Linked DNA regions of Callithrix jacchus. The protein of the gene in region 5 purifies or fractionates together with the protein of the main gene of each other region. This does not show direct contact. Links are inferred from orthologs where the notes say so. Each region holds a gene or a part of one and is shown on either strand. Other genes may lie near its edges. The genes, in order: BRMS1, MTA1, MTA2, SAP130, SIN3A, ING2 and SAP30L.

Evidence for each region.
Region 1: the proteins of SIN3A (region 5) and BRMS1 purify together in Homo sapiens (affinity purification with western blotting; 4 studies listed by BioGRID and IntAct, with this or other methods). This does not show direct contact. The link is inferred for Callithrix jacchus from reciprocal best matches to the Homo sapiens genes SIN3A and BRMS1.
Region 2: the proteins of SIN3A (region 5) and MTA1 purify together in Homo sapiens (affinity purification with mass spectrometry; 3 studies listed by BioGRID, with this or other methods). This does not show direct contact. The link is inferred for Callithrix jacchus from reciprocal best matches to the Homo sapiens genes SIN3A and MTA1.
Region 3: the proteins of SIN3A (region 5) and MTA2 purify together in Homo sapiens (affinity purification with mass spectrometry; 4 studies listed by BioGRID, with this or other methods). This does not show direct contact. The link is inferred for Callithrix jacchus from reciprocal best matches to the Homo sapiens genes SIN3A and MTA2.
Region 4: the proteins of SIN3A (region 5) and SAP130 purify together in Homo sapiens (affinity purification with mass spectrometry; 4 studies listed by BioGRID, with this or other methods). This does not show direct contact. The link is inferred for Callithrix jacchus from reciprocal best matches to the Homo sapiens genes SIN3A and SAP130.
Region 6: the proteins of SIN3A (region 5) and ING2 purify together in Homo sapiens (affinity purification with mass spectrometry; 5 studies listed by BioGRID and IntAct, counting the BioPlex papers as one, with this or other methods). This does not show direct contact. The link is inferred for Callithrix jacchus from reciprocal best matches to the Homo sapiens genes SIN3A and ING2.
Region 7: the proteins of SIN3A (region 5) and SAP30L purify together in Homo sapiens (affinity purification with western blotting; 4 studies listed by BioGRID and IntAct, with this or other methods). This does not show direct contact. The link is inferred for Callithrix jacchus from reciprocal best matches to the Homo sapiens genes SIN3A and SAP30L.

Annotation. Positions count from the first base shown.
Region 1 is NC_133511.1:123,419,136-123,422,240, reverse strand, and holds part of BRMS1 (breast cancer metastasis-suppressor 1), read left to right. Parts: exon of another isoform or gene 1-193; 5' UTR 194-200; coding exon 201-339; exon of another isoform or gene 340-1,412; coding exon 1,413-1,503; exon of another isoform or gene 1,504-1,702; coding exon 1,703-1,830; exon of another isoform or gene 1,831-1,989; coding exon 1,990-2,069; exon of another isoform or gene 2,070-2,159; coding exon 2,160-2,256; exon of another isoform or gene 2,257-2,790; coding exon 2,791-2,883; exon of another isoform or gene 2,884-3,105. UniProt on the Homo sapiens protein: Transcriptional repressor. Down-regulates transcription activation by NF-kappa-B by promoting the deacetylation of RELA at 'Lys-310'. Promotes HDAC1 binding to promoter regions.
Region 2 is NC_133509.1:140,274,782-140,279,002, forward strand, and holds the start of MTA1 (metastasis-associated protein MTA1), read left to right. Parts: upstream 1-1,347; 5' UTR 1,348-1,415; coding exon 1,416-1,443; intron 1,444-4,221. Other genes in the region: uncharacterized protein LOC128928889, read right to left, coding at 353-487, 963-1,347. UniProt on the Homo sapiens protein: Transcriptional coregulator which can act as both a transcriptional corepressor and coactivator. Acts as a component of the histone deacetylase NuRD complex which participates in the remodeling of chromatin.
Region 3 is NC_133511.1:119,871,043-119,875,213, reverse strand, and holds the start of MTA2 (metastasis-associated protein MTA2), read left to right. Parts: upstream 1-1,368; 5' UTR 1,369-1,746; coding exon 1,747-1,774; intron 1,775-2,523; coding exon 2,524-2,591; intron 2,592-2,943; coding exon 2,944-3,037; intron 3,038-4,171. Other genes in the region: EML3 (echinoderm microtubule-associated protein-like 3), read left to right, coding at 1-22, 295-425, 523-726. UniProt on the Homo sapiens protein: May function as a transcriptional coregulator. Acts as a component of the histone deacetylase NuRD complex which participates in the remodeling of chromatin.
Region 4 is NC_133507.1:36,408,542-36,412,132, forward strand, and holds part of SAP130 (histone deacetylase complex subunit SAP130), read left to right. Parts: coding exon 1-147; intron 148-310; coding exon 311-401; intron 402-601; coding exon 602-706; intron 707-3,284; coding exon 3,285-3,426; intron 3,427-3,591. UniProt on the Homo sapiens protein: Acts as a transcriptional repressor. May function in the assembly and/or enzymatic activity of the mSin3A corepressor complex or in mediating interactions between the complex and other regulatory complexes.
Region 5 is NC_133509.1:22,463,569-22,467,159, forward strand, and holds part of SIN3A (paired amphipathic helix protein Sin3a), read left to right. Parts: intron 1-1,945; coding exon 1,946-2,184; intron 2,185-3,550; coding exon 3,551-3,591. UniProt on the Homo sapiens protein: Acts as a transcriptional repressor. Corepressor for REST. Interacts with MXI1 to repress MYC responsive genes and antagonize MYC oncogenic activities. Also interacts with MXD1-MAX heterodimers to repress transcription by tethering SIN3A to DNA.
Region 6 is NC_133504.1:7,879,375-7,883,457, reverse strand, and holds the start of ING2 (inhibitor of growth protein 2), read left to right. Parts: upstream 1-1,264; 5' UTR 1,265-1,699; coding exon 1,700-1,868; intron 1,869-4,083. Other genes in the region: uncharacterized protein LOC108590761, read right to left, coding at 720-1,046. UniProt on the Homo sapiens protein: Seems to be involved in p53/TP53 activation and p53/TP53-dependent apoptotic pathways, probably by enhancing acetylation of p53/TP53. Component of a mSin3A-like corepressor complex, which is probably involved in deacetylation of nucleosomal histones.
Region 7 is NC_133503.1:53,653,814-53,657,918, forward strand, and holds the start of SAP30L (histone deacetylase complex subunit SAP30L), read left to right. Parts: upstream 1-1,294; 5' UTR 1,295-1,902; coding exon 1,903-2,100; intron 2,101-4,105.

The DNA.
Region 1 (3,105 bases), on a different chromosome or scaffold from region 5:
AGCTCCCAGGCTTCTGTGAGAGGTGCAGATGGCCATTTGCACCCTTATTACCCAGTATGTGCTCAAGGTGTGGCCAGGCCAGTCACTTCCTGGCTGTCCCAATCTGGGGTCTGGTCGGGTTCAGCTCCCCACTGCCTCTTTCCCCCTCTGAACAGAGGGCAGCTGTGAGTGATGGCTTCATTCCTTCTCCCAGAGTCCAGATGCCTGTCCAGCCTCCAAGCAAAGACACAGAAGAGATGGAAGCAGAGGGTGATTCGGCTGCTGAGATGAATGGGGAGGAGGAAGAGAGTGAGGAGGAGCGGAGCGGCAGCCAGACGGAGTCAGAAGAGGAGAGCTCTGGTGAGCCCCTGCACACACACACACACACACACACAGCCCCTACACACAAGCATGCATGTACACGCACGCACAGCCCCTACACACAGCCCCTACACACAAGCACACACCACCCCTCCACATAAGCACGCATGCACACACCACCCCTCCACATAAGCACGCATGCACACACAGCTCCTACATGCACACATGCACACACAGCTCCTACACACACACACACATGCACACACAACCCCTACACACATGCACACACAGCCCCTACTCACAAGCACACATGCACACAGCTCCTACACACAACACACAGCCCCTACACACAAGCACACACGCAAACACAGCCCCTACACACAAGCACACACACATGCACGTGCATATATAGCCCCTACACACAAGCACACATGCACACACAGCCTCTACACATAAGCACACACAGCCCTTACACAAATACACAGCTCCCACACACGCACACATGCATACACAGCCCCTGTGCACAGGCACACATGCACGTGCACAGATAGCCCCTACACACGAGCACACATGCACATGCACACACCACCCCTACACAGAAGCACACACGCACACACAGCCCCTACACACATGCACACACACACAGCCTCTACACACAAGCACACATGCACACAACCTCTACACACAAGTACACATGCACACCCACACAGCCTCTACACACAAGCACGCACACACACATAGCCTCTACAAACAAGCACACACATACACAGCCTCCACAAAGTACACATGCACACACACACAGCCTCTGCACACAAGCATGCACACATATACACAAACAGCCTCTACACACAAGCACACATGCACACAGCGTCTACACACAAACACACACACAAGATTGCACCAGCTTGCTTTACAACATGCTTCAGGGGGAGCTGCAAGAGCAGAGCCAGAGACTGGAGGAGGACTGCCAGAGCCTGGACGCGCGCGCACACACACACACACACACAAGCACGCACATGCACACACAGCCCCTACACACGCATGCAGATGCACACACACGTGGGTATCCACCACGCCTCTCCAGAGCTACCCCTTACTGGCCTCTTGTCCAGAGATGGATGATGAGGACTATGAGCGGCGCCGCTGTGAGTGTGTCAGTGAGATGCTGGACCTAGAGAAGCAGTTCTCGGAGCTAAAGGAGAAGTGAGTGTGGGAATACCTTGGGCTGGGTCTGCGAGGATATGGGATGAGGAGGTGGCGGGCCTGGAACTGGGCAGGCATGGCTGGTGCCCAGGGAGTGCACGCCTGACATGGGTCTTGCTGTGCAATGGGTGCTGGGTATGTGTTTGTCCAAGAGCGATGGGTGAGCAAATGGGCTCACTGCTGCCTTCTCCCCACCCAGGCTGTTCAGGGAACGACTGAGTCAGCTGCGGTTGCGGCTGGAGGAAGTGGGGGCTGAGAGAGCCCCTGAATACACAGAGCCACTTGGGGGGCTGCAGCGGAGCCTCAAGATTCGCATTCAGGTGGCAGGTCTGTGGGTGGTTCTGTGCCCTATTCTCCTCCCAGAACCCATGGCACCCTGTCCCCTTCCTTTCTCGTTCCTGCCCAGCCTCACCCTTTGCTCTCAGCCCTCCTTTGTGGGCACTGGGCTCCCTAGACAAGCAGGGCCCCTCCTCCCGCCCTCTGCAGGGATCTACAAGGGCTTCTGTCTGGATGTGATCAGGAATAAGTACGAGTGTGAGCTGCAGGGAGCCAAACAGCACCTGGAGGTGGGCCTGAGGGCATACGGGGTGAGGCGGGTGCAAGGCCTGCAGTGGACTCCTCCTGTTCCTCCTGCTGAGCTATTGCCCGTCTTCTAGAGTGAGAAGCTGCTGCTCTACGATACGCTGCAGGGGGAGCTGCAGGAGCGGATCCAGAGGCTGGAGGAGGACCGCCAGAGCCTGGACCTCAGCTCCGGTGAGTGCCAGAGCCTGGCTCTGTCAACGCCCACCCGGCTCTGGACTTCAGCTTTCCTAACTGCACAAGGGGACAGTCAGACGACCTGCCTCTTGGGATCAGTGTGAGGACTGAAGGAAACCAGGCCTGGAAAGGGCCTGGCATACAATGGGGGCTCGGGCAGTGGGTCCCCCTGCCCTCTTCTGCCCCTGCTCTCTTTCCAAAACAGGTATCAATGTAACATGCAGTCCCATATAGTAGTTGTAGTCCCCTCCATGTTCACAGTACCAGTGTTCATGTGGAGTCCTGGGGTGGCAGGAATTGTCATTATCCCACTGTCCACTAAACAGATGAGGCTCAAGAAGTACAGTGGCCTCTTCCCGGGGTTGTGCATTTGGGACCTGAATAGCCCTAAGGGGCTTCCTATGGCAAGCCCAGGGTGGTGATGGGGCAAGGGAGGTGAGGCCAGGCTGGCCCATGGTGGGGGCAGAGGCTACAAAAGAGGGAGCATCCTGTGGGCCAGCACCCCAATTTTGACTCTGGGTCTGGGGGCAGAGTGGTGGGACGACAAATTGCACGCCAAAGGCAGCTCCAAGTCTTGGGACTCCCTGCCGCCCAGCAAGAGGAAGAAGGCACCTCTTGTTTCTGGTATCCTTTCACCCAAGGTGGCCTAAAAGTGGACAGGATCAGCTCCAGACCTGGAGTGGGGGGTGGAGAGGACATGGAGGACAGTCACATAGACGAACTCGTGGTTGCTTGGTGTCACGTGACCATGTCCAGGCAAATCCAGCTGTCAGCAGTTTCTTACAGGGTCCTGGGTCTCCCTGGGCTGTATGGTCCCTTGGAAAACAGAAATGGCTTGGGCTCAGT
Region 2 (4,221 bases), about 120 Mb from region 5:
GTGCTAACCCTGGCAGGGCTTTCCTTTCTGGTCCGCTCCGCAGCCATAACGTTGTGGCCCTGCTCTCCTTGGACCCCACCTGACTCTCCTCCCAGCACATGCTGTTCCCTGCCTGCCGGGCTGGGGTCCCCATGCTCTCTCCCCGGCACCCTGACCACGTCCGTCCCACCTGCCTAGATCTTGCACCGCAGCCTCAGGGCTCCCTCCATGTCCTGCAGGGAGGCATGTCCCAGACAGACCGCAGCTCCTTCCAGCCACGCACCCACCTCCAGCATCTGAGCGGGCAGGGCCGTGACCCACGGTGCTGCTCACATCAGCAGCCTGGAGCCATGAGACACCTGCTTTTCCTCACCTCCGAAACTGAGGCTGCACCCATCTCGAAGCCATTCTGAGACCACCTGTTTCTCTCCATCTGGGAAGCCCCCTTCCCGCCTCATGCTCTTCCTGGCTGGGGCGTCTGGGTCACTGGACTCTCCTATCCTCAGACCTGCGCGAAAACACACAGGGAGGCATCCTGACAGGTGGCTGGAAGGAAGGCAGCTGCCCCACTGTGGAGAGAGTGCGGCCCTCCTGGACTCCAGCCCTGCTGGGACTGGCAGGGTCGGCAGGTGCTGGGTTCCAGCCTCAGATGGGGACTTTGGAGGTGGCCTCTGAGCACAGGCACCTCCTCTGTGGCCTTCTCACCAGGTCACAGTTCAAGGAGGCTTTGCAAGCTACGGGGCCTGCCCACAGCAGGGCACTCATGGCCACCTGTCCAGGGTGCCAGGCGGGCTGGGCGGCGAAGGCCAAGGGCACACACTCCCTAGGGTGGGGGGAAAGGTTAGGCCTGGAGGAACTTGTGGAGTGGAGACCCCGAGGCCAGGCCTGGGCCGCTGAGCTTCAGGGCCCTTGGGGGGCTCAGGGAGGAGTGCGGAGGACCCCAGCACCACGAGGAAGCCCTGGAGAGCTACGGCAGGACTCACCTGCGGGGCACCGGGACGGTCCCCAGGGAAGGGGCCCCTGTGGAGGACCCCCCTGGCCCCAGGGCAGTAGGGGAGGATCTAGCTCGGAGTGCGGCTGGAAGGGCCCACCCAGGAAGCGGCGCGCGGGGAGGACTCCGGGCCCCGGGAAGGGGCGCGCGGGCCGCGGGCGGCGCGGGGTCGGTAACGGCCCGCGCGGTGGGCGGTGGCGCCCGAGGCCCCTCCCCGCCGCCCGCGGCCGCTCCTCCTCTTCCTCTCCCGCCCGCGCCGCGGCCCTCCCGTCCCTGCGCGGCCTCGGCGGCCTCGGCGGCGGCGGCGGCGGCGGCGGCAGCAGCGCGGCCCCTTTAAACGCCCGCGGCGCCCCCCGCCCCCGCCATCGCGCCTCCATTTTCCCGGCCGCCCGCGCCGAGCGCCGCGCCCGCCCCGGGCCCCTCCGCCGCCGCCGCCGGCCCGGACATGGCCGCCAACATGTACAGGGTCGGAGGTAAGGCCGCGCCGCCTTTATGCCCGGCCCCGGCCGCCGCCCCCGCCCCTGCGCCCCGCGGCCCCGGCCCTTCCCGAGCAGCCCCCGCCGCGCTCGCCCCAACCCAAAATGGCCCCGCGGGTCGGCCCCATCGGGGGCGGGCGGGGCGCGGCGGCCGGGGTGGGGGGCGGCCCACCTGTTGGGGCGGAGGGGGCGGCCGCGGGGGCGGGGAGGGGCGCGGGCGGCGGGGCCATCGGGGGGCCGGGGCCGGGAGCCCCCAGCGGGAGCACGTGGCCTTGGGAGGCGCCGGCTGCCGGGCTGGGAGCCGGAGTTGTGGGGTGTGGGGTCTCCCCCGGCCCGCAGGCCCGTGCTGGGACCCCGGTGCATCGCCCCGGGGATGGGGAGCCCCGGCGAGGGCCCGCGCTCCTCCCCAGAGCCCTCCTGCAGCCTGGCCGCGGGGCTTCCCCCAGCAGGGCTCCCTCGGGGGTCGTCCGCGGGGAGCGAGCATCCGGAGCACGCCTCCAAGTCCCCCCAAACTTTTCCCTGCCTCCCGCTCACCTCAGCCCAGTCGGGAGGCGCTTTGCAAGGGCTGGGGAGAGGCCGGAGGGCCCCCTGGGCCGGGGCCGGGGCCGGGGACTGCCTCCCTGGGCCCAGCCTCCTGTTGCTCGGGCCCCTTGGGCCTGCAGCTTTGGGCCTTGCCCTACTTCGTGTGCCTGGGACTCCGTGGGGTCTTTCACAGGGAGGTGGGGGGTCGCGCGCATTCCATCACTCCGTCAGCGCCCCCCTCCCCGGGACTCTGAGACCCCTCCCTGCCGGTGACCCTCTCGGCAGGTGCCCATTACTTCCCCCACCTGCAGCCTGCGCTGCTGCAGGGAGCTGGGGTCACTGCCGCGCTGGCCTGGTCCCCACTGCCCTGGCCCCGAGTGCCCAGAACGCTCTGTGTCCCTCGAGCGTGGCTTCTGCTACCTTGGACGTTTGTGTGGTCCCACCGGCCAGCCCTGTGACCTTGGGGACGGTGGAAGCCCCCTACACCCGTCCGTCTGTGACATGGGTGCTCAGTCCGCATCAGCAGCTCGCGGCCCCGGGCCTCTGCAGGGGCGGTGGGCCTGTTCTCCATCCCGCGGCTGCCCCTCCCACAGCCTCACACACCTTTGCCGGGTCCGTGTGTGGACACAGGTGGGCTTGGGCCCACCCCTTGCCCAGGGATCAGCCTGGGTGCGGGGTCCCTCGTGGGAGGGGCCTGCTCCTCCTTGTTCTTTCTCCCCACCTGGATACCCCCTTCCAGCCTGACATGAGGGCCAGTTTCTCACCCTGGTACAGAGGATGCCTACTGCCTGGCTCAGCTGGGCCTACTGCGCATGGTTTTGGGATTGGTCCCAAGAAGAGCCCTTCCTGCCCCCACCCAGGATGGGGGTGGGGAGTGAAGGCGGCTTTGGACTCTAGGGCTGGGGCTACCTGGACCCCGGCTCATGCCTTCCCAGTGGCGAGTGGCTGCGTGCTTGGCCTTCAGGCCCCCCTGCCTGTCAACTTGGCACCAGCCTGGCCGCCCCCTCCACCTTCCTGTGCCTTGGTTTCCCCTTGGTGTGGGTGAGGACCTTGTGTCTCAGCCGTCCTGTGCCCAGTGGCTGAGAATGCCAGGGCCCTGCTCATCCCGTCGCTGAGCTGCAGCCCCTTTGGGTGCTGCACAGGCTTGGGAGGAGCCCTGAGTGGGGCTGCGTGACACTCTGTCCCCCGCACCCTCTGTTACCCCATGCCCACAGGCCCGTCCTGGGGCCTCACTGACCCAAGTGCACCAGTGCTGTGAGGGTGGGTGGACTGGACCCCGAAGCTGCTGCAGAAGGGCCCACTGTGCCTGGCAGAGATGCCGCTGCTCTCTTCCTGGGATGAGGAGCACGGAGGTTGGGTGCCGTCTGCTGGCAGCACAGGCAGGCGTGGGATCCGGCTGCTTCTGTGTGTGCAGTCCGTGGTCACTGTGGCCAGGGTGTACTCGGGGCTGTCAGGCCCCCCGTGTGGCTGCCCCGAGGACGTCCTCTCCCTGCTGGCAAGACTAGGGCTCCCCCTCTCTGTCCTGATCATCCTACAGGAGAAGCGGCATTTATGCCTGGCTTCTGGACGGGAATCCCGGCTTTGGTCCTGCGGTCCTGGCAGGGCCCCGTGGTGGCAGTGGGCTGGATGTTGCAGGTTGGCTTCCTGTCTTGGTGCTCACTCGGGGAGGGGGCATCTGGATTCTTGAGCCCCTAGGCAAGACAGAGGAAGGTGTGCAGTGTCTCCTGAGTGGCCTTCGTGTGTCTGTCGCCCGCTGCCTGGCATGGGCCCTGTCTGGGCGGCCAGCCCTGGCCTGTGGGAGCTGCCTGCAGGGACCCAGCCTGGGAAGGGGCTTGCTCCTGTGTGCCTGCAGGGACCTTGTGCATAGAGGCGCCACATTTAGCACAGAAAAGTACAGGACGCCCAGGCAAATTTGAGTTTCAGATAAACAGAAATTTCTTAGTGTAAGTATGTCCCAAATATGGCCTGAGACATGCTTATCCCAGAAGATTCTTATCTGACGATCATAGTTAATCTGGGCATCCCACATTTTAGCTGGCAGGCTGCTCCAAGGCCCTGCCAGGTCGGGCTCGCTAGGGGAAGGTGTGGCGGCCACAGCAGTTTTGTGCCAGCTGAGCTGGCTGAAGCAGTGAGCCGGCAGGGAACAGGGCCTGTTTCTTCCTCGCGGAGTGCCCTGGCCACAGACTGAGGCCTGTGTCTGTGCCTGGGCAAGGGTGGCGGCGTCAGGGTTCCCTGACCTCTGTTCCTCAGGGG
Region 3 (4,171 bases), on a different chromosome or scaffold from region 5:
GTGCTGGGCTTTCACGTCTACGGTGAGCAGGGGCGTGGAACCCTGCTGGAGGGGCGGGGGACAAGGTGGAGCCCAGTTTGGGCTCGAAACGCTGGGCGTGTGTCGTTGGGTGGGAGTCCAGAAACCTGAAGATCCAGCCCAGGAGGCCCCCCCCCCCCGGCCCTCGGGACCGGGAAGGCTTGCCTGGAACGCGGCAGTGGGTGGCCGTGGCTGCCGGAGCGCCTGAAATAGTGCAGCTCTGGGCCGTGGGTGGCAGTGGGGAGGAGGTCGGGCTGAGGCCGGCCGCTGTGCTAGGCGTGTGGCCGGACGGCTCCGATGGGACCGACATCAACTCCCTGTGCCGCTCCCACAATGAGCGCGTGGTGGCGGTGGCTGACGACTTCTGCAAAGTGCATCTTTTCCAGTACCCGTGTGCTCGTGCCAAGGTGAGGCCGCAGGGGCCTCCGGGGCGGGGTGGGGCGGGACAGGACGGGTGGGCCCGAGGGCTCCGCCGCCACCGCAACTCCCTTCCCTCCTGTCCAGGCGCCGAGCCGCATGTACGGTGGCCACGGCAGCCACGTGACCAGCGTCCGGTTCACGTACGACGACTCGCACCTCGTCTCGCTGGGCGGCAAGGATGCCAGCATCTTCCAGTGGCGAATGCTGGGAGCAGGGGGCGCGGGGCCAGCGCCCGCCACGCCCTCTCGAACCCCCTCCCTGTCCCCCGCCTCCTCCCTTGACGTTTGATCTCGGCCTGGCGGACCAACTGGCTGAAGGCGTGGACCCGCCCCGCCCCGCCCTAGTTCCTTTAGACCCGGGGCTGACTCCTCGACTGACTTCCAGACATTCCCGATCGCGCATTTCCCTGGAGGGCGCGAACGGCGCCCCTGCACACACTGTTTAGACCCGCTGGCTGAGCTGGGCAGCCCCAGCCTAGGCCTTGACTCCCGCTGCCTGCTGAGGGGCAATAAACGAGAACCAAAGTCGCCTCCCGGTGCTTTTGTGGGGCGCTGCTGGGGGCCTCCGGGGCCTTGTGGGGTGGGGACGAAGGAAAAGAGGCGTGCGGAAAGGGTAAGGGAGCGTAGACCATTTATGCAAATAACAGGCAAAGCCGCTTGCAAATAACCTGGTTAAGCGCGAAGGCGCGCGAGTCTTTCGGGGCGGCAGGAGAAGCTGCAGGGACCCAGCGAGTACACAGTTAAGTCCGACTTCTCTCCCGCCCTCGGAAAAATGGGGTGGGTCCGAGCTGCGACGGAAATAGCCGAGTGCCGGGCCGCTGTTGGCCGACAGGAGCCGAACCTCTTCCGGAAGTAGCCGATCTGCGGGGTCTCGCTCTACGACCTAAGCCGAACGGTGGGCCTTGTTCTCCGGATCGGCCGAAGGTGTTCCGGAAGGAGGCGAACCCCGAGGCGGGCCGGGCAAGCCTTCCCTGCGGCCGGCAGATCCCAACGACTAGTGGGACTCGGCGGGGGCGGGGGTAGCTGGAGCTTAGCTCTGGCCTGGCAGGAGCCGAGCTCGTTCCGGAAGAAGCCGAGCGGACCGGGGCCGGCCTCAGCGTCCCGGGAGTGGGGCGATATCTGCCGCGGCGACAGCGCGGGCCGGGATGAACCGCGACGGCTGAGGCAGTGGAGGTGCCGGCTGCGCGGGCCCCACTGAGACTCCCTTGAAGCTACAGCCCCACGCTCGGGGCTTTGCCTCGAGCCGAGCCCTGCCTCCGCGAGCCTTCCGGACCCCTTTGTGCGGCCGGAGGCGGCGGCGGGAACGGCCATGGCGGCCAACATGTACCGGGTGGGGGGTGAGTACCGGGCGCAGGGGTGCGGGGCCCGGGGCGGGAGATGTTGGGGTCGGGACCGGAGGGACTCCGCACCTGGTGGCGCGGGGCGCCGCGTCTGGGGCAGCGTGGACCCGAGCGCGGACCGGAACCGGAACCGGGAGACTGGGAGCGGGGAAGTGAGGGTGCGGGAACGGCGACCGCGACGCGGCAGGGTGCCGAGACTCCCGGAGAGAAGCTGCGGGCAGCCCCGACGGCACTCTCAGGGCTGCGTCGGGGGCTCCCCCGGGTACAGAGTGGGCTTTGGAAACTGGTTCAGAAGGAGCTGACCTGGTAGGGAGGCGACGCGAGGGGCTGGGGCGACGGCTTTGCCACCGCGGGGGAGCCGCCCGGAGATTTCCTCTTCCCAGGCGTTATTGTGCGCCTCGGTTCGAAAAGGTGGGGGCCCAGCGCCAGCGTGAACAATGACTTCGCCGCGACTGGGCTGCAACTCATAGCTGAGTTGTGGGGACGCAGGGGAACCCCTGCTTCTTGCCTGTTCCTTAAGGCTCACTTTTCTGTGAAGGATCCGATTTTAGAACTAGGCGTGGTGGGGATGGGGAACATCCTTATTTTCTCTTAGTCTTTCCACTTTCACATCTCAGCGCCCTCTCTACCTGGATCTTTATCTTCTTTTGGTCCACTCAGGCCAACTTTCTCTCCTACTCTCGTGCTCTGTGTCTCCCGTCTCGTCCTCTGATCTTCGTGGTTCTTCCCCCTCCCCTCCCTTACAGATTACGTCTATTTTGAGAACTCCTCTAGCAATCCTTACCTGGTTAGACGGATTGAGGAGCTCAACAAGGTGAGTGGAGCAGAATCCCTCTCCCTCCCTCCCCCAGTGGTCTCTTTCTTCTGAGGTTTCTAACTTCTGGTGGAAGAGAGGACTCTATACTAAGTATCTATTCATATTCATTCATTCATTCATTGGATGTATTCAGGAAAGGCTATTGAGAGCTTAGCAGGAACTTACTATTCTGTCTCTTGGGGGCAAAGGAAAGGGATTTGGAAGTCTGTCCTTGAATGTAAGTCTTTACTCCTATTTTCTTGGGATTTTTTATTTAGGTTCCTCTGAAACTTACTGTTATTTGTCTCTGTGCATTTCTGTACCCAGATGATCAATTTTTCACTGCTACATTTTTTTTTTCTCTCCTTAGACTGCAAATGGAAATGTGGAGGCAAAGGTTGTCTGTCTTTTCCGGCGCAGGGACATTTCTAGTAGTCTCAACAGCCTGGCTGATAGTAATGCCAGTGAGTACCTTCATCTCTTTCTTTTCCCCCTCCCCATGATCTGAGGCCTGGGCATGTCCCTGCAGGAGTTTCTCCTGGTAGCATGCCCAAGGCAGAGGTGTGAATTTAGGGGTGGGAAATACCTGGTCTGAGGAGGGAGGCCTGTTTTTACACGTTGGGGTTGGAAGCAGGGTGGAGAGATTGTGATAAGGAAAGCTATAATATGGTTTGTGTATGAGTGTAAGAGAGAGATGATAATGTTTATTTAGGGGATGAGGATGAACTTCAGAGAAGCAGAATGCTTTTCTAAAGGGGGACAGTTTGGTGTACATTAGAACAGTAGGTGGTGACTGAAGGTCAAGGTGAAGAGGAAGAGATTGTTCTGAGAGGCCCGCATAACAGGGAAGTAGGCTCATTTTGTAATCACAAGGTGGTGGGAATACCTGGAAGCTGGAAGATGGTAGGAAAGTTTTCTTGTACTTTTCATTTCTTACCTCACCCATTTCCCGGCCCCCACTCCATTTTACATCTTTCCCTTTTCATTTTGCCCTGTCTTCATTCTCTTTAAGTTCTCATCTTTTTTTTTAAAAAAAAAAAACAACACAAAGAAACATGTTTTCCTCAGCTTCTTTTTCCTTTCCTGCTTTGATTTTCTTTCTCCTTCCTTTTGTTCCACCTTTCTAAATTTTCCTTTTTCAGACTGTTCTGGGTGAGAAGGGGTTAAGAAGGATCCCGGCTTACCAAGTTCCTTGGCCCTTTAGGGTTTCCAGCCCCATCTGGCAGGGGCTGACCTTGGCCTTGTCCAATCAGAATGAGTGTTGGGGGTGTGGTCCCCCTTGCCTTAGCACAGGGTTTCCGGAGCACATAGGCCAGGGGTGGAGCCTACCGCACAACCCCCCTTCTCCCTGAGGTTGGGAACAATGCACCAATGAGCCTGGGCCTGAGGCTCTTCTGTCCCCTCCCACGTTGGTTGGCGCCTAGCCAGGTTAACCCCTTCCACAAGGTTTCAGGGCAAGCTGCAGCTCCTTGGGGAGGAAGGTGTTGCCACTAGCTTGAGAGGTCTTGTCCTTGAAAACCCCAGGAACTATTATTAGAAAATGAGGGATAGTTAGGGCCACATGTGATGTTTTAGAGCAGAATCTCCTGAAATTGAAA
Region 4 (3,591 bases), on a different chromosome or scaffold from region 5:
AGGCCAACTTTGTCTATCCAGCATCCACCATCTGCAGCAATTAGTATTCAGCGTCCCGCCCAGTCACGGGATGTCACAACAAGAATCACACTACCATCTCACCCTGCATTAGGGACGCCAAAACAGCAGCTTCATACCATGGCTCAGGTAAAACCAAAGGTGGAGAACCACTTGTGTACTACTTTGTTGGATAAAACCAAAAATGTGCAAAATGTGCAGAGGGCCTGGCAATACTGAAGGCATTGATTGTGTTTAGCCTGGATGCAGTGGATAACATTCTTATAACTGTGTTGTGGGGTTTCCCTCACAGAAAACGATATTCAGTACTGGCACACCAGTGGCTGCAGCCACAGTAGCACCTATTTTGGCAACCAACACCATTCCTTCAGCGACTACAGCTGGTAAGTTCATAGCCCTGCTCTTCCTTCTACTGGGGAAAAAGGAGGCAACAGTGGTGGGTTAATTTTTTATTTCTCACCTTCACTCAGAGAAAAACAATGGGCTAGAAATTCTTTTAACTTTTTCCAAGAGTTTTCCCAGGGTTTTGAGAATCTGTAACGTAAGCAGAGAAGTTATTGTGAAAGAATTTCCTTTATTTCAGGATCTGTGTCACACACGCAAGCTCCCACAAGTACCATTGTTACCATGACAGTGCCCTCCCATTCCTCCCATGCGACTGCTGTGACCACCTCAAACATCCCAGTTGGTAAGTGGCATGCTGCCTTCAGACAGAAGCTTACAGGGAGTGGTGTAGCTCCTCTGACTCGGCCTTCATGTTGATGGCTAGTATTGATTTTTACAATCGTTGATTTTCAAAGCAACATTGAATATGACTTTTAATTTCTTTTATGCTAACCCCAATATTTCTGTATTATAATAGGATCTCTCTTAAGAAAGGTAGCTGAGTTGAGAAGGGAAACCTGATACAACCCTAGATCCCTGATTTTCAAGTTGGGAAGTAGAGCATATGTATTAAAATCACCTAAGTGGCTTTTTCCAAGTGAGCTTTCCCTCTCCAGGTGATGTTAAATCTGAATTCAGCTATTCTTATTAGGACTATGTTGGCTCAGAGAAAAAGAGCCTGATAAATTACAAGCATAAGGTTTTTGTCTCTATTCCAATAGAATACCAGTCTTATTTTCTCCATGTTCTGGTCAACATGTGACCATGTTCTCAGAATTATAGAAAGCAAAATCTGATGATCACATTATTCAGAAAATAGGTTTTAGAGATAGCATTATAACAGACTTAATGTTTTCTGTACTTCATAGTCCCTTGGTTTTTATTTGATTATTGAAAATGTATGGGGTTTTTTTTTTTTTTGAGATGAAGTCTTGCTCCTTGTCTCAGGCTGGAGTACAGTAGTATGATCTCAGCTCACTGCAACCTCTGCCTCCCAGGTCCAAGCAATTCTCCTGAGTAGCTGAGATCACAGGTGTGCACCACCATGCCCAGCTGATTTTTGCCTTTTTAGTAGAGACCGGGTTTCACCATGTTTGCCAGGCTCGTCTTGAACTCCTGACCTCAGGTGACCCGCCAGCCTCAGCCTCCTAAAGTGTTTCGATTACAGGCATGAGCCACTGCACCCAGCCTATATGGCTTTTTAAATTAGAAAACAAGCAGATTTAAACTAATGGCCAAGGGGTGGGGTGTGTCTGACCACCAACAATTGGTTAGCTACCCTGTCATATGGCAGCTTTATTCCTATTGGAAGCATCATTTTCTCCTGCCTTTTATTGGCCTCAGTGAAAAAGCAAGGCTTAGTTGCCCCCTGCTCACCACCCTCATTGCTTACCTCGCTGATGGAAAACCTATCATGCCAGCTTCTCTCTGCATTGGCCAATAGATGCAATCTTCAGTGGTCAGATGGGCATCTCTGCTATCACCTTGCAAAAACTTCTCCGGCTGCTTCCCATAGGAGCTGGCTGGGCATCACAGCTGGTCTGTGCAGCTTACCTTTGATGTTAAATGCTCTGAATTTAAGGTAATATATTGGTATCCTCCTAGTCTAGTCTCTGTTGTTAATGTGCCTCTCACTGGCATAACTTGGGTTTTTACACAGATGGAAGGGGTCCCTCTGTATTCCTGATAAGACAGAATAAGAAAGAAAAGATCACAGCTTTTCTTTCTGAATTCCCAGGCATACTGTTAATAAATAGGTCTATAAAGAATAGTGTTAAGTGTATTCTAGTTCAGCTATAACTTCCATACAAAATTGGATTGCAAGTCTTAAAGGAGTACACATTTGGAGCCTCAGATTGAATTTGAAAACTCTAATCGCTCAAGCCTGTAATCCCAGCACTTTGGGAGGCTGAGGCGGGTGGATCACAAGGTCAAGAGATCGAGACCATCCAGGTCAACATGGTGAAACCCCGTCTCTACTAAAGATACAAAAAATTAGCTGGGCATGGTGGTGCATGCCTGTAATCCCAGCTGCTCAGGAGGCTGAGGCAGGAGAATTGCCTGAACCCAAGAGGCGGAGGTTGCGGTGAGCTGAGATCGCGCCATTGCACTCCAGCCTGGGTAAACGAGCAAAACTCCGTCTCAAAAAAAAATAAAAAAAAAAAAGGAAACTCTAATTATTGATTTTGATTTTACTCTGAAGTATTACATAAAATCGCAGGACATTCAAAGGATCTTAGAAATTATTAAGTGATCTAAAAAGAAGCCTTCTTTATAGGTAAAGAAACAGACTTGGGAATTAAATTGGTCTTCTCATTGCTAATTAGCTATGTTTTATAATTATCTGTGGACCTAGAGTAGAATCTAAGGTTTTTCCATTTTTTAACCCAAAATTTTGTTTGTTTACGAATTTTGAGACAGGGTCTCAGTCTGTAACTGAGGCTGGAGTATAGTGGTGCAGTCATGGCTCACTATAGCCTTGAACTCCTGAACTCAAGTGATCTTCCCACCTCAGCGCCTCCCACAGTGCTGAGATTATAGGTGTGAGCCACCATGCCTGGCCTATTTACTTTTTAAACAATTTACTCCTTTTAAAAACAGGTCATTAAAAAGCCAGATGAGGAGAAAAGAGCCTGGTCACTGCTGTCTTTGTATAAGTATTAATGTTGAACCTTGCTTTAATAACTATAGGAATATATCAGTGAATGATAGGGTTGAAATAATTCTGTTGAACTTTATGTACTTATTTTTCATTTTTGGTTTTGATTAAAAATCCAGGCTTATTTTGTTTGCTTTCATAAAATTGCTGCTAGCCAAGAATGTTTTGGTATGCCAAAAAACAACTGTAGAGTGGTCATGGAATTGGCGTTTACTGTTTACAGCCAAGGTGGTGCCCCAGCAGATCACACACACTTCTCCTCGGATCCAGCCTGACTACCCTGCCGAAAGGAGCAGCCTGATTCCCATCTCCGGACATCGGGCCTCTCCCAATCCTGTGGCCATGGAAACACGAAGTGACAACAGGTAGGAGGCCGTGTGTTGGTTATTCTGCCTCACTGTGTCATTAATCATCCTGCTTTATCAGCATAAAACAAAATAACCCACAAATATGGCCTGTATTTATTACTCATGTTTTCAGATTTTCCCCTGAAAATTACACTTTGTATAATTCCTTTTTTAAGCATGATT
Region 5 (3,591 bases):
GCTAGTGTTTTTTTTTTTTTTTTTTAATACTCTTAGCTCTTTGCCAGTTTTCCCTTGTCACACTTGCTTCAGCTGTTTCTGGTGTGTTTTTAATGAACAGCCACATGCTGCCTCACCACTGGCAGGTGGTTGGCCATCTTTGCCCCAGCATTTATAAGGAGTTGCAGCTATTTGCAGAAAACTAAATCATGACAGATTTTAACTTCCATAGGAGTATTACCAAACTAAAGAAGACATTTCTTTGTTATTTATATTTAGTAGGGTTAGCTGATGAGTTAGGAGAGCTTGGCATCTGTTTTTGACAGAATGTTCCCATCCTTTCTCAACTGGTATGCCTGCAAATGAGAGGCAGCCTCATTTCTCATTTGTGACTACAAGGGCAAAGATGAAAGAAGTGTGGGGTGTCCATGTGTTTAAGATTTGATGGGGTGGGCTAGTTTGAAGGAACATGCTTTACCAATCATAAATAGGTTAGTAATGCTTCAGTACAGACAATTCCCACATTTGAGTGACTTGTAAAACCATTGGGTTTAATTTCTAATCATTCTACGTGTACGTTGGTGTTTAGCAGGGGATTTGGCGTGTCTGAATCACAGGGGACCCAGGCCAAGGGATTGCCACCATCATGAATGTTGCCAGTTACTAGAAGGAAAAGAAAGCCCAGAAAGATCTCTTACCTTTAAATGCTCCAGCCTAGAAGTAATAAACATTACTTTTACTCAACTCATAACAAATCATTTGCCAGAACTAGTTACATGACCCTATTCATTCATAAGGGAGCCAGGAAATTTAGTCCCTTTTTGTCTGTATTTGGAGAGCAAGAGGGGCCAGAACTATTGACAAAATGACTACCAGAGTCTCAAAACAAGAAAACGTAGGGAACAATTCTGCAAACATTTGGCTGTAGGTTCTTGAGACTGCTCATTTACTTCTTTTTTTTCTTCTTCTTTGATACGGAGTCTAGCTCTGTCACCAGGCTGGAGTGCAGTGGTGTGATCTCAGCTCACTGTCGCCTCTGCCTCCCAGGTTCAAGTGATTCTCCTGCCTCAGCCTCCCGAGTAGCTGGATTTACAGGCACGCGCCACCATGCCCAACTAATTTTTGTATTTTGAGATGGGTTTTACCATGTTGGCCAGGATCGTCTTAATCTCCTAACCTCATAATCCACCAACCTTGGCCTCCCAAAGTACTCGGATTACAGACGTGAGCCACCGCACCTGGCCCATTTACTTCATTTTCTGTTTCTCATTTAAAGAACCTTATTTTATGCTAGGGAAAAACTAGAATCAAAGGTTGCCAGGAGTTCAATAAGAATTTAAATGATTACCCACAGATGCAACAGCAAACTCCTTAGGGTATGATAGTCACTGCTTTTACTATTACTGGATGCAGAACAAGGCTATTGAATATTTAAGTATTTGAATATATTTAAATATTTCAAGTTAAACCTAAAAACTCTCAAGACAGAGGTCTTTTGGGATTGTTTTGATGATGTTTGTTCATAATGGATCTTAGCAATTCAGGAAAGTTCAGAGAAACGTATCAGTAAAGTCATCTCCTGTTAGGTTCCTCTGGTGCAAGATCAGTAGTCCTAAGCAAGGCACACACTGGTGGTGATGGAGGTAATAACTACCATGTATCCAACTTAATCCTATGGTTCTTTTTTTTTTCTGCTTTGTAGACTACTGACTCAGTCCTATGGTTCTTAAAGTGCCATGCATTGTGCTAAATACTTTATGTAGATTATATCATTTAATCCAAAAAGAAGCTTATTAGAGTAATAGGTGCTGTTATCCCTATTTTACTGGTAAGGAAACAGCCTTATGCAGCTAGTAAGGCAGAACCAGGATTCAAATCCAAGGAGTTCAACTCCCTACCTTATTCGTCTAACCACTATATTCTATTCTGATTTGGGTCCTAAGCATACCTTTGTCTTCCTCTTCAGCTTGATGTAGTTTTAGAAACCAATCTGGCAACAATCCGGGTTCTGGAAGCAATACAGAAGAAGCTTTCCCGCTTGTCTGCTGAGGAACAAGCCAAATTTCGCTTGGACAACACCCTTGGGGGCACATCAGAAGTCATCCATAGAAAAGCACTCCAGAGGATATATGCTGATAAAGCAGCTGACATCATTGATGGTCTGAGAAAGAATCCTTCCATCGCTGTCCCAATTGTCCTTAAAAGGTACCTGAGCAAATGTGCCCTCGGTGCTTTAGTGTACTTCACTACTGTGTCAGTGTCCCACTAAATAAGGCTCTTGTTTTCAACCTGGTTGTCCCATGAGACCGCTCTTTCTCCCCAGCCCTGGTTGTTGGAATTTACATGCAGAGTGGAACTTCTTTTGGGGGTTCTTTGTGACCAACGTTAGAGAACAAATCTTGTAGGTTCATGGTGGAAGGCTCTGTGTATATGTTTGAGGGAGTATTTTAAAATACAGAAAAGAAAAGATAATTGCCACCCATGTTCCTGCCACTCAGGATTAACTTAAAATCTTTTTTATTTTTAATTAATTTTTTTTTTTTTTTTTGAGACAAGGTCTCCACTTTTTGACCCAGGCTGGAATGCAGTGGTGTGAACACAGCTCACTGCAGCCTTGACTTCCCAGGCTCAAGTGATCCTCCTACCTCAGGGTAGGAGGGATCTGGGACTACAGGCCTGCGCCACCACATACCCAGCTAATTGTTAATTTTGTTAAATACAGACAGGGTCTTGCTATGTTTCCCAGGCTGACCTCTAACTCCTGGGCTCGAGCAATCCTCCTGCTTTGGCCTCCCCAAAGTGCTGGGATTATAGCACAGGCCACAGTATGCCCAGCCCTATGTCATTCTTGACCACACTGAATCCTTTGCTGTGAGCTTGGTTCTCTCTAAGTATCATCTGGTAAAAATTAATTCTTGTTTGCTGCATTGTTGACAAATACCCAGATTTTATTTGTCCTTCATCTTTCCCTCAAGAGCTGGCACAGATTGATGGTTTCTTTTTGCCTGTAACATTTAACTCTGGCTTTTGAGATGTTGATTATTCTTCCATTTTAGTGCTGTTTTTTTGGTCTTAGTCTGTTGTCTTCTGGGTTATTAAAATCAGTTCTGGTCAGAACTTTCCAGACTGTATCCAGAGGAACATTACTGTGCACGTTCTCTGCTCTTGGACTTCTATGTCTTCATTAGCATTGTGAACATTTTGCAAAATCCTGCAGCAAAGAAACATGTTTAACTTTATTTTTGCTGGCAAAAGAAGAGAACTGTTTTTTTCAAGGAAGACTTCCTTAAATCTCAAAGGTATTCCTTGGAATGCTGTTTGATAAGTAACTGTTCTAGGGAAATTATTTGACTGAGATAAATCATTTCCCCAAAATAAGTCTTGGATGAGTAATTTCCTCATGAAACAGAGTTCAAGACAGATTTGATAACATTCATCCTAAGTTGCCAATAATTTTGACAGACCTAATATAGCTTTAACTTTTCTTGAAATAAAGTAAACCTGGCAGATTTCTTTGTTCTAAACCCTCTGAATTCCCATATGTTGTTTCCATCCCTTCCCACTTCACTAGGTTGAAGATGAAAGAGGAAGAATGGCGAGAAGCTCAGAGAG
Region 6 (4,083 bases), on a different chromosome or scaffold from region 5:
TGACGTCCCAAGACGTCAAGATGCCTGGAGTGCTTTATTTCTGTTTGACATGTAAAATTTCCTCTCGATAAAGAGCTAGATTTCTCTTGCAAGCCGAAGGCTAGTTACTATTCCCAGCTGTTTCAAAAGTGCTCTAAATAGGTCACCATTCCGGTGCACCCACGCTGCAAACTGCATCTAAGATCCAAATTTGTCGCCACTCACTCACATTTTCTTTTTAACTCCAAGGTAGTACTCACAATAGGGCTTGTTTACATCGGCATCCATCAAAATTCTCCAGGCATTCGTTCTACTGACACCATTTCTCTCAAAAAAGTCTATCTAAGTAAAATCAGCTCCTCCGCCGGGCATCTGGTTTACACTACACCGAAGTGAAACCCCACTAGACCCCGCAGATCGCGGGGCCGAGGGCCCGCCCGCTGACTAGGTATCTACTAGCGTCTCCACCGCCCCGGTCCCCTCCGGTTGTAGTCACGGGACAGGATTGAGCAAAGACTCCCGTAAAGCTGCCGTGTGCCCCTGGAAGCCTCGCCGACGTCCCATGCTTACATGATCTGACACCCCCAAACGTAGTTGTTTTTAGGGACCAATGCGTTGGCAGGCAGAGGCCGCCCCGCGTCTCTTCCCCCTAAATGACACAGTAGATTCCCGCGCAGGGCAAGGGCCAGGAAACCCGCAGGGCACACGACGCCGCCGGGGCCGGAGGGAGCACGGTCTACCTCTCCGATCAGCTCCGCAGGGCCGGGCGAGCCCGAGGGCCCGGCAGGAGGCGGGCGGCAGCCCCAGGCGAGCTCAGAGGCGGCGGGAACGCAGCCGCCGCGCATGCTGGGAGCCGCCCGCCGGGGCGCGCAGTCCCGCAGGCCTCGCTCCGGGTAGTCAGAAAAGGGGCCGCTTGCTGCTCCTTTGCAGGCTCGCTCGGACCCGCGCTCGGACCGCCGGATGGGGAAAAAGCCCGTGAGGCCAGGCGGAGCGAGCCGGGAAGAGCTGCCCCTCCCTTTGGGGAGGACCGCAAGAAGGACCAAGCCACCTCCCCTGTCGGGTCCCATTCAGACTTGGGGCGCAGAGGCGGGCTCCCCGGGCTTCCCCTTTAAGGGAGGCGGGGCGCGGCCTGCCGTTTGGCCGCCCCCCTCGCGCCCTCCCCGCTAGCCTTGAGCCAGCAGACCAATCGCCCGGGCGGCGGAGCGAAGGCGGGAGAATGCGAACCCTTCGGTAGGCGGTAGGGGCGGGGCCCCGCCTCATTTGGAGCGAGCCGTGCGCAGGCGCAGAGGCGGCCGCGGGCGGAGGGGCGGGGGCAGGCCAGCGGGAGGCTCCCCGTCAGGCACGGAGGGTGCCTGGGGACTGGCGGGCGGCGACGGGCTTGTCATGGGGATCCGGGCTGCGAGACGGCACTGGTAGCATCTGGGGACTCCGAGAGGGACAGGAAGTGTCAGCGCCCGTGACTCCGGCGCCGGCCCCGCCGAGGGGATCCCGGCTGCTCCGAGCCTGGAGTTTCGCCCCGCCCCTGGGCTGGTGCCGCGGGGGCGGAGAGTGAGGGCTGCTTTGGGGGGGAGCGGAGGTCGGGGAGCGCGGCCGTGCCCTCTCGAGCGGCTGCGGGGTCCCCGCGGCGCCGGGCTGCGGAGCGAAGGGCCCGCGGCGGCCGCGGCCGGTGCATGTACGGCTGCTGGATGCGGAGGCGGCGGCGGCGGCGCTGAGCGGCAGGATGTTAGGGCAGCAGCAGCAACTGTACTCGTCGGCCGCCCTCCTGACCGGGGAGCGGAGCCGGCTGCTCACCTGCTACGTGCAGGACTACCTTGAGTGCGTGGAGTCGCTGCCCCACGACATGCAGAGGAACGTGTCTGTGCTGCGAGAGCTGGACAACAAATATCAAGGTAGGGGCCGCGGGGCTACCGGCCTCGGAGCCGGTGGCGGGGAGCCTGCCCGGGGGAGTGCCACCTCCCTTTCTCCCGTGACAGTCTCGCCGAGCGCACCGAGGGTCTGCTGAGCGGGACGGGGAGGACTGGAGACCGGGTTCGGGCCCTCCCCTGCCCCGCGGTGGGCTAAGACTTCTCTGGGGTCCCCGGATTGGGGGTGGGGGCCGCTCGTCAGCCCCCGCTGCAGACCCAGCGGCTGCAGCTGCCGGGGAGGGGAATCAGCCATTTTAAGCAGCAAGCATTTGTTCTGGCGCTCGCCCGCCCCGTGCCGCAGACCTTGCCGCCCCGGCCCGGGATTGTGCAGCCGGGCAGGGGCCAGAGGGAGTGAGCGGCCGGGCTCCCGCTGATCTGCCGGGCGCGCTTCCCCACCCGACTCGCCCCCACCCGGGAGCGCGGGTGCTTTGGAACGTGCCGGGGGAGGGGGCGAGAGGCCGTGGAGGCGGACTGAGGGGGCCTCCCTCGGCGCCCCAGCCCCGGCCCGGAGGAGCGCGGTCCGTTCCGCTCTCCCGCCCCGGGAAAGTTCCGGATCGCCTAGCGCCGCAGCCCTGGCCCAGCTCCTCCGGCCAATGGTTAAGAGGGGAGGGGTCCCCCGCCCGGGAGGAAGAGAGGGGCGTGTGTGGCGGGGAGGGCCCGCGCCGGGGGCGGGGCCTGCGGGCGTGACGTAGGCGTGGGAGGGGCGCGGCGCGGATTCTCGCGGGCCTGGAACTTGGCTGGTAGCGAGAAGGGCAGTAGCGTGCCGGCTGCTGAGGAGGGAATCGGGGCGGTGCGGGGCGTTGGTTCGGCCCTAGCAGCGTCCGAGTCGGGGGTTGTAGCATGTTTGCGGCGATATTTCCAGGCTCTTCCAACCCGTGAGTCAGGACGGGGATCGGCAGCTCGGACGGTCGCGGATCCTGGCTCCGCGTAAGTTCCGGGACATGTGTCACTTCCGGGCCTCTGGAGGATGTGGGTTGGTTGACTGGGCAACCGCCTGGCGTCCCCGAGCCCCTCCTCCTTGTACTTCAGTGATGAGGCGAAACCACCCTTTGCGGGCCGACCCGGGAAGCCGGGACAGAATCGACCTTCCTTATAGCCTTATCATCTACTATCGGTTGTGCCCCTAGAAGGGCAGTTTAAAAGGGGAAATGTGTTGCGCCTAATAACCCTGAGTCGAGGAACAGACCTTGAACATAGTATGGAAACAGCCATATGGACTTTAAAGATAACTTTCTGAACCCATTCTCTATTTTTGTAGACACGTCAGTAATCCTATAGTTTAAAAGTCTCTGAGGAATCAGCTTCTTGGGTGACATTTTCTGACCTGTAGCATGTTAGAAATTTAAGTGTCTCTGATTTTTTAGTTTATAAATTTATCTGTTTTCTGAATCCGTAGGATTCGTAAGGCCCGAATCCTGTGTTGCAGGGGGCGGGGAAGGGAATTAATACTGATACGCCAGGAACAGACCATCATATAAGTATTTCTTTTACAGATAATATTTACAGAGAGTTTAAGTAACTCGTCCAGTTAATTAGATGTAGACTATATGGCTCCAAAGCCTGCTACTTTAGATGCACATCCTTGTTTTCAAACAATTTAAACTTTAAAAAATAGGGGCCGGGCGCGGTGGCTCAGGTGTGTAATTTCAGCACTTTGGGAGGCCGAGGCGGGTGGATCACGAGGTCAAGAGATCGAGACCATCCTGGTAAACATGGTGAAATCCCGTCTCTACTAAAAATACAAAAAATTAGCTGGGCATGGTGGCGCGTGCCTGTAATCCCAGCTACTCAGGAGGCTGAGGCAGGAGAATTGCCTGAACCCAGGAGGCGGAGGTTGCGGTGAGCCGAGATCGCGCCATTGCACTCCAGCCTGGGTAACAAGAGCGAAACTCTGTCTCAAAAACAAACAAACAAACAAACAAAAAAAACATTGGAACTGCCCAAGGGGATTTCTAGAGGTATGGAGTACATACATGAATGGTAACCTAAACGTGATATATGTTTAATAATTGTACATTGAACCTTTCTAGTTTTTCAAATAACTCTTAAGTTTGTAAAGCTTGCAGGTTTTTACATTGTTTGAAGGCACATGTTTCCTTTCACGAGAGTTAAGCTGTTTGAAGTTGGTGAGGGATGCTATAATTTGTTGACAGGGAAATCTGCTTCCGGATCATCTATAATTGTCCTGTATTAATAGTTC
Region 7 (4,105 bases), on a different chromosome or scaffold from region 5:
TGAGCAAAACTTAAGATCACCAGGCATCTGCTTCTAAACAAGGAAACTAGTAGCTTTCCCTTTTTCAACAGGACACAAACCCGAAGCTCCTTCTATACCCTCTAGTACTATGAATATAGGAACACTTGCTCACCTGTCACCTAACACAACCTCCGCTCTTCCCTGCCCACAAAACACTGCCCAGCCCTAAATGACTACACTATCCTGGGCTAGTCCTATCGCCCTACGGACCTCCTCTGTCCCCATGTTGCCCAGTCGGAGAGTGGTATGACTGAAGTGCTGGACCAGAGGATCCCCTGCAGCCCTTCCTGGAGGGAAGGTGGTGCCCTGAGCGCCGAAACCAAGCGCAGGGGCTTGGCAGGGCGCAGTCCCTTCGCCGACAGACCCGGGGGATCAAAGCAATAAACTACAGCTTGGAGCCCCAGGGAGGGCCCAAGACACCGCAGCCCTTCCCCATCTCGATCCCGAGATTGGCCCCTGGCCCCCACTCTCAGCCTTCTCTCTATCTCCCCTGCAGCTCCCTCCTCCTGACCGCGGCTCACCTAGTCCACCCTACAGACCGCATCCGGACTTCCCACTCTTCCCAGTGGAGGGGTCGCCCAAACCCCTCGGGTCTCCTTTCCCACTCTCCTTTTCTTTCCGTGCCTTCCAAGCTAGTCCCAGTCTCCACAGTCTGGAAGTTCTCGGCTACCGCCAATATTGCGACTACCTTGCAAGATCCCCCATCACCTCCTCCGCATGTCTTTCGGCGTTATCTGTATGGGGTTGTCCCTCTGTCTTTCCCGCCATGACTGGCTTTTCGTCCTATTTCACCACCCTCCCTCCCATGTGTCTGCGAGTCTTCTGGTCCTGGCCCTTTCGTTTTATTCGTCCGCCCCTCTCGTGAGCACCTCTATCCCCTTTAGGTCCCCTCATATGCCGCTCCTCCAAGTGTGTCCCTCAGCGTCCCCGCCCGCGTCTCTACTTCTGTCTGTCCCCGAATGTGTTCCTCTGTTCCTGGAGTCTGGCCCTCGGTCCAGCCAGGCCTCTGCTCACCATCCCTCCCCGGGACCCGAGAGTCTGCGGCCCGGTTCCCAGTGCTCTCCGGGGTAACTCTTTCCTCTTCCACTTTCTCTACTTTGAACCCATCCCAGCAGAGTCCAGGAAGTAGCCTGGCGCCGGAGACTGGCGGCGGCGACACCCAATGGGACGCGCCAGCGGCAGCGGCGGCCCCGCCCAGAGAGCAAATGTGGCCAATGGCCTCGTGAAGGCGGGACTTCCGCTGTCCCGCGGAGGGCGGGGGGAGCGAACTGTTGTGGTGCGGCGCGTTCGGCTGGCGGCGGCCAGGCGGCCCAGGGGCTGCCGCGGGACTCGGGGAGCAGCCTAGTGGCTGCAGGGGTGGAGTGGGCCGGACGAGCCGCGGGGCCCGGGCGCCGCGGGTTCGAGGCCGGGCCCCGCGCGAGGAGGCCGCGCCACCCCTGGGGAGCTGCCCGGCAGCGAGTTTGCCCCGCAGCCGAAAGAAGGCGGGAGCAGGCGGGGGCCTTCGAAACCCCCTGGCAACGTGGGCCCGGAGTCCTTGGGGAGCGGCTGCTTCCTGGGACGCCCTCCCGGACGCCCCCGCTGCAGGGTTACGGTTCTGGGCCCCCGGCAGAAGGCGCCTCCGGGTGACCCCCGGCGGGGCCCTGCGAGCCGCGGGAGCCGACCCCGGGGCCTCGAGCGGGGAGGAAGGGGGCTTCCGGAGGCAGAGGGCCGGGGGCCGAGGGAGCCGGGCCTCTCTGTCGCGGGGCAGGGCAGCGCCCGGGCTGGAGTCAGACTCTGGGACCCTCTGGTGCGGGGGTCTCAGCGACCTGCCCCGCGGCGAGCGCAGCTGCGGAGTGGCCTACCGGGGACCCTCCCCCAGAGGAACCGGCCCGGGGCGGGGAGATGAACGGCTTCAGCACGGAGGAAGACAGCCGCGAAGGGCCCCCAGCCGCCCCCGCCGCCGCCCCGGGCTACGGCCAGAGCTGCTGCCTCATCGAGGACGGCGAGCGCTGCGTCCGGCCCGCGGGCAACGCCTCCTTCAGCAAGAGGGTCCAGAAGAGCATCTCGCAGAAGAAACTCAAGCTGGACATCGACAAGAGCGTGAGTCCGCCCCCGCCCGGGTCTGGGCCCCGGCGCCCCCCACCCTCTCGGGCCGCTGCCCCGGGCTGCGGTCTGGACTCCCTGGGCACTCCTCGCCGTGGGCCTCGCCGCCCCGGGTCTGCAGAACTGAGGAGTTGGACTCGGCATTTCAAAGGCCGCTCCGGCGCTGACATGCTCTGACTGTGATTCTGCCCAGATCGGGGAGGATGGGGGCGGGGGCTTCGGGACTCCTGCTGCCTGGGAAGATTGGACAGCAGTTTCCAACTTGTTTTATTGGTTTAGATTTTATAGCTGGGAGAGGTGGGTTAATTTTGTTGGCCCTTGAAGGAGCAAGAATAGGAGAGGGGGTGAAGATACCCAGCTCTTTTCCAACTTCTCTCTCCTTCTAGGAACCCTGTTATTCCTTCAGACAGAGAAAGGTGGCAGTTACTTCCCTGGCTCCCGCAGCCTCGGCATCTGCAGAGTGTCACCGAGCTAGCTGCTTCCAAGGCAGCTTTGGAAGTGGGTTTTTCTAGGATGTGGCAGAAATAAGGCCAAAGCCAGGTCTTGGGAAATGGCTCTTGTAGTCGATTTGACTGGAGGGGGAAGAAAAGTCATCAGTTTTCTTAGTGGTAGTTTCTTTTGAAGTAAGAGGGTGGAGAATTAGATTTAAATAGAATTGCCCTGCTCTTTGTGCCTTATTATAGGAAACTTCTCCTGTGATTTCTCCACTTGTAGTTAACAATTCCGAAGCTGTGCCTATTGTCAGCCAATTAAGAACTTTTTAGTTTGACATCTGTTGCTGCAAGCCTTAAGTGATTGATTCATGATTAGGAACTGGAAATGAGTTAAGGGGGTATTTAATATTCAGGCAGACTAAGAGCTTAGGTGGTTAACATCCATTCTCTTTTAGAATCAAAATTTTTCCACACTTGGAAGAAATCAGAGACTGCTTGTTAAACTGAAAAGGAGTGCACCTTTCCTCTCTGATTTTAGGATTGAAACAGGCCTCGAGATAGGAAGTGAGGGTGTCCGATACAAAGGGCACCTAAGAGGCTGGTTAATTTCTTAAACATATTATCTGATTTACTTCCAAGCCCTATACATAACTCTTCATTAAGTCTCTACTAAATACAAAATCTCCGGTCCCTTTTTTTTTTTCTTTTTTTGAGACAGAGTCTCACTCTGTTGCCCACACTAGAGTGCAGTGGCAAGATCTCAGCTCACTGCAACCTCCACCTCACAAGTTAAAGCAATTCTCCTGTCCCTGCCTCCTGAATAGCTGGGATTACAGGCGTTTGCCACCATGCCTGGCTCATTTTTTTATTTTTTATTTCGCGGTGCTGGACGGGCTAATCTTGAACTCCTGACCTCAAACGATCCACCCTCATAGGCCTCCCAAAGTGCTGGGATTACAGACGTGAGCCACTGTGCCTAGCCCCCGTCCTTTCTTCAGACTCTTCCCTCCTAACCCATTTTAAGTTGATCGTTATAATACATTTGCAGCTCTTGCATGGACAGGTGCGATTTTTAAGTGTTTGGGAGAAAGTTAATGACTTTCTTACTACAGCTTTCTATCGATGGATGCATGAATGGTGATTACCTAAAAATAATCACCAAGGTGGTCCCTCATTAGGTCACATGTTGAGGTGAAATATGGCAATGAATTCATCCTCTTCGTAACACTGCCTACCTTCTGTGTATTGTTAGAAGCTGCTTTACTTGATCAACTTACAATAATATTTTCCAAGAAATAGAATCTTCCATCCCTTTTAGACCACTAGATCCCTTCCCATCTGAATGATTTTGCTACTGCAACTGGGGTTCCTTTTATTAACCCATTGACTCTACTAGAAAACCTGTGTTGAGCTATGCTGATCATTTCACACACACTGTCTAGAAGAAAGACAGCCCGAGCCTAGCACTAGTGTTCCCAAAAGTACTTCTGAAGGAGTCAGGTTTCCAGGTGGAATCACTCACAATTTGTTTTAAGGTGGTGTGAAGTCATTATTTCTGAAAGGGATTC